Arabidopsis thaliana: one gene and its partner. The protein of the gene in region 2 interacts with the protein of the main gene of each other region in a pairwise test. Each region holds a gene or a part of one and is shown on either strand. Other genes may lie near its edges.

Region 1 (4,579 bases), on a different chromosome or scaffold from region 2:
AGTCTGGATCTAGAGAAGCTTCGTGATCTGCGGTTGACGGATCGTCCTCTCTGCTGCATCAATTCGCACAACGTCGAATCGGGGAAATGTAATTCAGATAAGGTTTCAGATCTGAGAGCGAAAAGAGTGTGAGAGTGTGATGTTGCCTGCGCGCCCTTTTTTATAGGTGGAAAACGGTGGCGTTACCTTCGACTTCGGCCTTTTTTACAGACTGTAAAATCAAATCAGTCGGTAATTAAACAAATATCTCCATTTTTTTTGTTTTGGTCAAAACCGGTAATAATAATAAGCGTATTTTAGTTAATGTTGTGCTGTCACTCATTTTAAGTTATGGTTTATATATATTTTTAACTACATTTGCAATTGCATTTATATGCAATATATATGTTGACAGATTTTATTCTACAAATAAATCGTTGTTTTGGTAAAAAAATGTTGACTACTTTGGGGAGTTGGTGGAAGAGGAATCTCTAGATCGCTCATTGGGGAACGAGATTTGGGTCCCTTGGGATCTATCAAACTTTATACATAATTTAGAATATATCTCAATACTATCATACTACAGTCGAATCTTTTACTTTATTAAATAGAGAAAAATATCACATACTAGTACTACACTTCACTCTTGTCACGGTCGTTTGACACATTATTGTAAAGTCGCCGTGCCACTCATAGTAAAGGACAATTATGGCTCACGTGTTTTGTCGTTATAAAACCATGGTGCTTCACTCATTAGTGTACATCTGGATTCTCTTCACCTACCATCCCTTTTGTGGCTTCTGGCTTTTTCCCTTCGATATTTTATTCTTTCTTCATCATTATTCTTTATGACCTTAATTAGCGCTAATGTACAAGTAAATCTTGTTCACAAAAATTACATAAGTTGTGCTTCAGTAACGTACACATAAAACCTCCAATGTCAATGGTTTAAAAAAGGCCTATCGATGTCGATGGTAAATGGTAATATGCTGGTCTTTTTTTCACTTTTTACCTATAAACATTAGTACATCACATGTGTTAAAACAATCTACCATTCATAAGTATATGGAACGATAATTAAATAAATAAAATATCTGTATTAGTTGTTCGTGTAAATGCCTTATTTAAGGCATAGCTAGCCCAAATATACATACACATCAACAATACACCACATTTACATATCCACCACCACGACTCGACTTGGACTCGATCACCATATGGGAACAAAACTTCCCTCAACGTTCTTAATCCTTATATTTCCATGGATTAATACGTGTTTCTAGTTCACTATATCCTTCAAGATTGAAATTACTTGTTTTTTTCCATGCTGTTACTTGGTTTAGTTCAATTTGAAAGAAAACAACTCAAAGTAACGGTAAATAAGAAAAGAAAAAAGATTCATAGACCCTTGGAGCCAGGGAGGTCAATCCATTGAAGCTGAGCCTCGACCTCTCCGCATTCCACATGTCGCAATCTGAGAACGAGATCCTGGACGAGCTTGCCGTCGACCCAGGTGACACGTGACTCCTCGGCTAGACAGTTACGACGACTTGGCTTAACCGTGGTCACAATGGTTCCACTAGGAAGTCCATCGAGTTGCATCCTCAAAGCCTCAATATAGGGCTTTATCTCGAACTCAGCATCGCCCATCTTGTCGTCTTTGCTAAACATGTCGTGATCATACACCGTCTACATATAACATTATAGTTTTATCAATATAAACATCTTATGATAAGGAAATTAATGTATGTTTTAGTAAGTAAAAAGTACCAAGAGGACGGTAAGATTGGAGTCTGTGACGGAGAGAGTCAAATCTTCATTCCATTCTGGATTAACATCTTTGTTAATGACACGAGTCTTCAATTTCTGTAAGATTTAATATGATAATTTGAGAATGTTTTTGATGTAATGAAATTGCATGTGAAGTTGTAAAATGATGAATGGATTAACCTGTTTGCCCATCTTGACGACGACGTAAGGATCGCTGCTACTGATGTCACGGACGGCTAAATTGACGCCACGTTTGATACGGATTCTAAGGAGGCCCAAGAGATCGTCCATTAGTGAGCTTGTCCTCGCCGGACACGCCGTTGTCATTTCCTTTATTAATGTTCCTGATTATTTCTTCCTTACTCACTTTCTACAACCCTTTTTTTTTGTTAACGCTGCAACCAACACACGTTTAATTCTCGGGGAAAAGCACAACCGAGATAAAGAAAAAAGGTTAAACGAACCAACTCACCCGTGAAGATAATTCAAAGGTCTCTTTAGTTTCTTTCGTCAGATTTCGTTCCGTTCAAACTATCATCGCTAAATATTAGGGCAGGTCTCTTTGGTTTCTACTCCTCTTTTTTTCTGTTTATTTTTTTTGAGTCGTGGGGAGGAGATAACGTGCGAGAAAAGAAAATGATAAAGACAAGATAGTTAAAGACATGACCTTATTTTTGACGCTACGCTGACTAGAAGTCGACCGGGAATGCCGGTATCCGGTGTTTAAGATTAACATTACTTTTTGATATCCAATTTTAGAGAACGTTTAAAATAAACATCGGATATTATAATTTTCCATTCTCGGCGGACTTGCAAAAGGTATCTCTAGATAAAATGCCTAAATATCAGACGCAAAAGACAAGTGTTGACAAAATTGGCCTATACTCTTGGACAAATTCTAAGGAACAAACGTTTTCTCAATGATCGGTGAGGTACGGACAAAAGAAGCTCACTGGAATTTTCTCAGTCTCTCTGCTGAGAGAGACGCTCGTTTGTTGTTTGGTTCCAGCACAAGTGCGTATCTGAAATCTGCAGAGTTTATGTTATATTCTGCCAGATTCTACAAGGCGAAAAAACAATCAGATTATGTTCTTTAAAGCTTACCTTCTATGGCTCCCTTGCAATCGCCTAACATTTCTCTTGCGGTTCCTCTTCGTAAATAGGCTTTAACATTCTGAAAGAAATCAAAAACGATCTTTGTGTTGTGTGTTCTTACAAAGTAAAGAGTGTTTTTTTTTCAAGAGAAACCTGTTTCTGTGTTTTAATGAAAGTTACCTTCTTGTCGAGGGTGATGGCTTTGGTACAGTCTTCTTCGGCTTGAAGAAAGCTGTATGTAAATGATTTGTCAAGGCAATGCCACATAGAAAGATTTGCTCACTAAAAAGTATTTTTAAGGATCTGAGAAACATTTACCCTCCAAGTTCAAGATATGCAGCAGCTCTGTTACTGTAATAGGTAGCATTGTTGTCACTTAGCTTTATAGCTTCTGAGTATAGACCAATAGCTTTCTGCCATAGTTTCTCTTTGAACGCTTGGTTACCCTGGTTTACATAATCACGGGACACAAAGATATAATAACCACATTAGATTATGGATGATAATGCCATTAAGAAAATGAGACATGCAATGGATATTAATTGACCTTCTCTTTGGCAATCTCGGCTGACTCTTCTTTGGTGATAGCCTTTTTAGAAGATTTGGGATCGGTAACAATACTCGAGTACTCTTGCAAAGATGGATACATTGTCTGCACTGTATCTAGTAAAAAGCGGTCACCACCGTGTCTTCCTATGAAAGAAACTGAAATAGGGCATTTCTCATGATGTCCGAGTGGCACAGTCACCTGAATCATCAGCACGATAAATGTAAGACACATATACTGTGGATTGGTTTTGCTAACACTGACTGGTCAGTGGTTGCTTTTAACATGTGTGAGGGGAACTTTACTAGCATGGCAGGTGAGAGAGAGAAAGAGAGAGATTTAACCTGACAACATCCTGATATGCTAGCAATGCTAAGCAGACTTGAAGCTCGGTTTTGATAGTCTTCAGATGTTATCTCCTTGCTACCAAGTTTTGGAGGAACAGCTGGCAATGTTGGAATTACCAGAATGCCATCATCCTTGATACATAACGTTACAGAGTTGGGAACCATTAGAGATTAGTCAAGAGACATATAAACTAACTCGCTCAAGTTGTGGACATGTCATGGAAGAGCAGGAATACCTTGAGAAGTGAACCAATAGCCACTCGAGTCTCGTTTCTGATAGCATTCAGGTTCTCAGTCTCTTCATTGGTTAGTTCTGGGTTCTCACACACTTGTGATAAAATCACAGGATCAATGGCTGGCTTCACTGTGTTGATCCAATCCCCATGATTTTGAAGGAACTCGTGCCTACAATGCCAATATTGTTATAGAGTGTTCAAAACTAAGATATTTTCATCCTCTGTAGGTGAATAAACAATAGGCACACCTTTGAAGGAGCTGCATCACATTCGCCAGTAGTCTCGATGTTGAGACCTTCGTGTTAGCAATGGCTTTTGTCCTAGCGAACTCTTTCAAGCTAGGAACTTTAGTTTCAAAATAGGTCTCCAAGTTCTGATGCTTTAGCAATTGTCCTAAATATAAAACAAGATAATGCTATTATAATCAGAATTTCTAACAGAGACTGGAGGATCTTCAGGGAGAGTAAAGGGCATACTTCCAAAAAGCTTTTCAGCTGATTTGGTCACCACCTGGGTAATCCGATCCACAGGGATCTTTAACAGCTGAAAACAGTCATCAGCTAGTATGATTTGCCTTGGATTCCGTTGAGTGGCAAATGGAAGTT
Region 2 (3,844 bases):
AATAGATTTTATGTAACAAAAGTATTTCAGTGTTGTCTCATGATGGATCATCCAATCTTTTTGATCAAAAAAAAAAAAGATGGATCATCCAATTCTGGAGTCTCTAATAATCGGGAAAAAGAAATCGAGTACAGTTTATTTTTGTTGGTCAGGCACTTAGCCACTCAGGCTCATCAGACAAAGCGATGACCATAACATAATTATAATTAGGTGTATTGACAAAAAAAAAAAGAAAAAAAAAGGAGGATCATAATTAGATGTAAAAAATGGTGAGCTCTCTCCAAATTTTAAAATGAAAAATAAAAGAGTTCAAATTATAATGGGCTTTTTCGTCGTTCAAAGCCCTTTCCCCTTCAACAGTAATTAGTTTTTGAACGTAATAATGTTACTGGAGCGCGAAAACTTAAGCAAAATTAGCACAAAAATACAAAAATTAAATTTTACAACGAAATTGTAAATAAAAAAATAAAAAAAATTATTGAACAAAAAAAAAACTAATGCAACGGTTTTTTTTTTTAGGTTTTTTTTTTTGTCATTAACGCTAGAAAACAAATAATTTTGCGAATTTACGAATTGCCAAAATTGACTTATAAATACTGCCAATTTTCAGACATTAAGCTTTTATTCGTTTTATTATGAAAAGTTACTACACACAACACTATATTAAAACATACGCTATAAATAAATATGTATCGAAGAACAAAAAAAATATCATTATTTTTCCATCTGACCTAGAAATCTATTCCATGCATATATCATTTCAAATACAAAAATTGAATAAAACAAGAATACTAATAACCTACAAAATAGTACAATCTACACAACAGTTAAAGAAAACTAACTACTATAATTAGTATGTTATCATTCCTGTATAATTTATCTTGTCAACCAATTGAATAAACGAACTACTATAATTAGTATGTTATCATTCCTAATTCTATGATATAACAAGTATGTTATTAAATTTAACCTATCTCGACCATTCCAATTATCCAGGAGACTGATTTTTTTTAAAAAATAAAACATAACCATAAAATCAAACAAGGAAATTACAATTCAAGAGAAGAAAAAAAACGTTTTACAAATCAAAATAAAAATTAAAACTCCCCCAATTTAGAAACATTTTTCTTTCCCCCAAATTTCATCATTACCTAACCTGAGAAGAGTTGTTGTTGTTGTTGTTCCGGTTCATAGCTTCAGTGATCGAAGCAAGTTTCTGAAGATTCAATCTAATAACCGTATCAGCAAACAATCTCGTATCTTCCTCCGAATTACCTTCCGGTACATCAACAACATAAGATTCCAAAACAACGGTCCAGATCCTTTCTTCTTCTTCTTCTTTCTCAAATCTATGAACCGTCGTAACCGATTTATAATTCCTCAGCCTATGTTCACCACCGGTTATACTAAACCCAGTCACTCTCCGATCATCGTCCAACAGATCTAATCTCTCTCGAGACGTATTCGCCGGTAATCCACTTATCACGTTCACGTCGCGCGTGCATCCCACTCGCATCTCGAAATCTTCACTCACGTTACAGCTTTTGATGAAGTGTTTGTAAATCTGTGGCCTATCGAAACGTCTCACCACGGACCATACTGTTTCCGGCGGCGCGTGGATTCGCTGAGCTAGGAGAGATGAGCAACGGCCGTTACCGAGTTGGTACGTGTGGAACTCGGCGATTGATTGGGAGAGTTGGGTGAATTCGTCTTGAGTTAAATCGGAAGGCATGGTTTGGTGATGGAGTGTTGAGATTCTCTGGCTGTTCTCTTCTTCGTTTACTGGTGAGGAGGAGGACTCTGAATTCGCCATTGATATTGTTTGTTGAAACTTGAAAGAGAGAAGTTGAAAATTTGAAGGAAGAAGAAAGAGAAGAAGGGTATATTTGGAATTTAATAGACTTGAGTTTTTTTTAATGGCTATCACATAAATGTCATTAGGCACTGAATCTTTCTACTTTTAGTTGATAATTACTATATTTGTAGACACGTACATCAAAATTAGTAACTATTACAAATTTACGTAATATTTTTGTAGATTCTAAAATAATACTACAAAAAAAATATATATCCGTTCATTATAATAGATGGAATTATTTTGCTGAATTCGAAAAATCTGATTTAATTTAATGAACAATAACACACAGTTTAGTTAGACTTATCATATTATTCATCCATCTATATTCTGATTGAAATGTATAAACTATATAGTTAAAATTATATATATATGATACTAATTAAAAATATCTTGAACGAGTTAAACTATATAGTTAAAATTAGAATAACTCATTTTATCATATTCTTCATGAATTCCTACTATTTTATATTAATCATCACTTTGGTAAATATATTACAAATGAAATTGGTCAACTCGTAATAGAAATGCAATTAAATTATAAAATAAAAAATTATTTACGGGAGTTGAATTATTTTTTTGTTGGCAACCGTAGAAATTTTGATTAGATGCTCAAATATAGAATCATTATTTATTCGAATGCATTTAAAGGTTAGCCATTAGCCTTTGTTCGTGAAGCTATTATAAGCCTATACCTATATTACTTATCTTAATCTATAACTCCCAATTTCTCTCGAAACTAAATAATTGTAAAGATTAAAACAATTTTCAGTTACATAAAAAAAATATACTTGTAAAGATTAAAACATTTTACTTGTACTAGAGAATTTTTATCAAGTGATAATTAAATGTGAGCAACTGAGCATGAAGCCTCCGTGTCATATACTTACTAGTTTTGGCCATGTTTATTTATCTGCAACCGAAATGGGCAAATTACTTTTTTCTCTTATCACCTTGACTTTTGTTTTTTCTATTAAAATTATTTTTAATATTATGGCTGTGAATGGTGACTGCGTTTTGCGGTACGCAAAAAGTGCGGTGCGGTTCAAATAGTAATGAAAATCAGCACTGTTGCGATACGGTTTTAAGTGCGGTTTTGGTCACCATTCACAGCCTATAAATCATTATACTTTTGTCCAAAAAAAAATATAAAAAATCATTACAGTAAATAGTTTATTTTTTGTTACAAAGATATAATTGGGTACGTAAGAAGTAGAATCCAAGAGATACGGTAGGTACAAGTTATAAATCATAAAAAGTAGTCTCCAGCTGTTTTTTTTGGCGTCTTGTAGACATTTAATTTTTATGTCAAGTATATACTTGCACATTGCACTTGTATATCAAATTTGATGATTATAACAATGATTTAGTTAAATATCCAGAGTGTAAAATTATATTGCTAAACACTATACCTAAACGATTTTTCTATAAAATTTTATCATTACGCTAAATTAATTTTTTCAAAATTTTAAATGAAAAGGACAATAGTGCTCTCAAACTGGTATGATTAAATTTTCCTAAAGTTAAAGTTAGAAAATAATTAATATATTTATGAATAGATAGATTGCTATATATATTCTTTAGCATTATAGAGATAATAAAAGTATCAAAAAGTCCATTTGGTGGAATAATATTGATTCTGATCATTGCGAATTTTTTTATTCTAAAAGGCTTGAAAGAATTTTCAAATATAATATTTTCAAGAATCCACTCACCATGTTATAATGGAATGTACATTGATTAAAAAAAAAAAGAGTAGTGGAATATACAGTGAGTGATACATATCTCTACATCCACACATTTGCATTTTTTTGGAGAGTGGTTGCTTTAATAGTCCAGCCTAAAATTTAGTATAACAACAGATTTTTTTTTTATCATTATATAGTAGATTTTGGCTACATTGCTTTGGAGTTTCGATAAGCAGAGCATATATTTCTTTTGTCTTTTTTCAAGAGCATATATATGCTAAAACATAGTTTATGGTTGTCA

What was found.
Region 1: the proteins of PYL1 (region 2) and C2 interact in a protein complementation assay, tested with the Arabidopsis thaliana proteins (one study listed by BioGRID).

What each region holds. Positions count from the first base shown.
Region 1 is NC_003074.8:6,149,914-6,154,492, reverse strand, and holds C2 (Calcium-dependent lipid-binding (CaLB domain) family protein), read right to left. Parts: upstream 2,432-4,579; 5' UTR 2,222-2,431; intron 2,145-2,221; 5' UTR 2,077-2,144; coding exon 1,930-2,076; intron 1,846-1,929; coding exon 1,750-1,845; intron 1,669-1,749; coding exon 1,378-1,668; 3' UTR 679-1,377; downstream 1-678. Other genes in the region: TOC64-III (translocon at the outer membrane of chloroplasts 64-III), read right to left, coding at 2,699-2,778, 2,854-2,923, 3,025-3,076, 3,163-3,290, 3,392-3,592, 3,736-3,870, 3,975-4,143, 4,223-4,367 and 1 more. UniProt on the Arabidopsis thaliana protein: Mediates the transient calcium-dependent interaction of PYR/PYL/RCAR abscisic acid (ABA) receptors with the plasma membrane and thus regulates ABA sensitivity. Stimulates the GTPase/ATPase activities of YchF1, and regulates its subcellular localization.
Region 2 is NC_003076.8:18,982,916-18,986,759, forward strand, and holds PYL1 (PYR1-like 1), read right to left. Parts: upstream 2,003-3,844; 5' UTR 1,814-2,002; coding exon 1,148-1,813; 3' UTR 625-1,147; downstream 1-624. UniProt on the Arabidopsis thaliana protein: Receptor for abscisic acid (ABA) required for ABA-mediated responses such as stomatal closure and germination inhibition. Inhibits the activity of group-A protein phosphatases type 2C (PP2Cs) when activated by ABA. Can be activated by both (-)-ABA and (+)-ABA.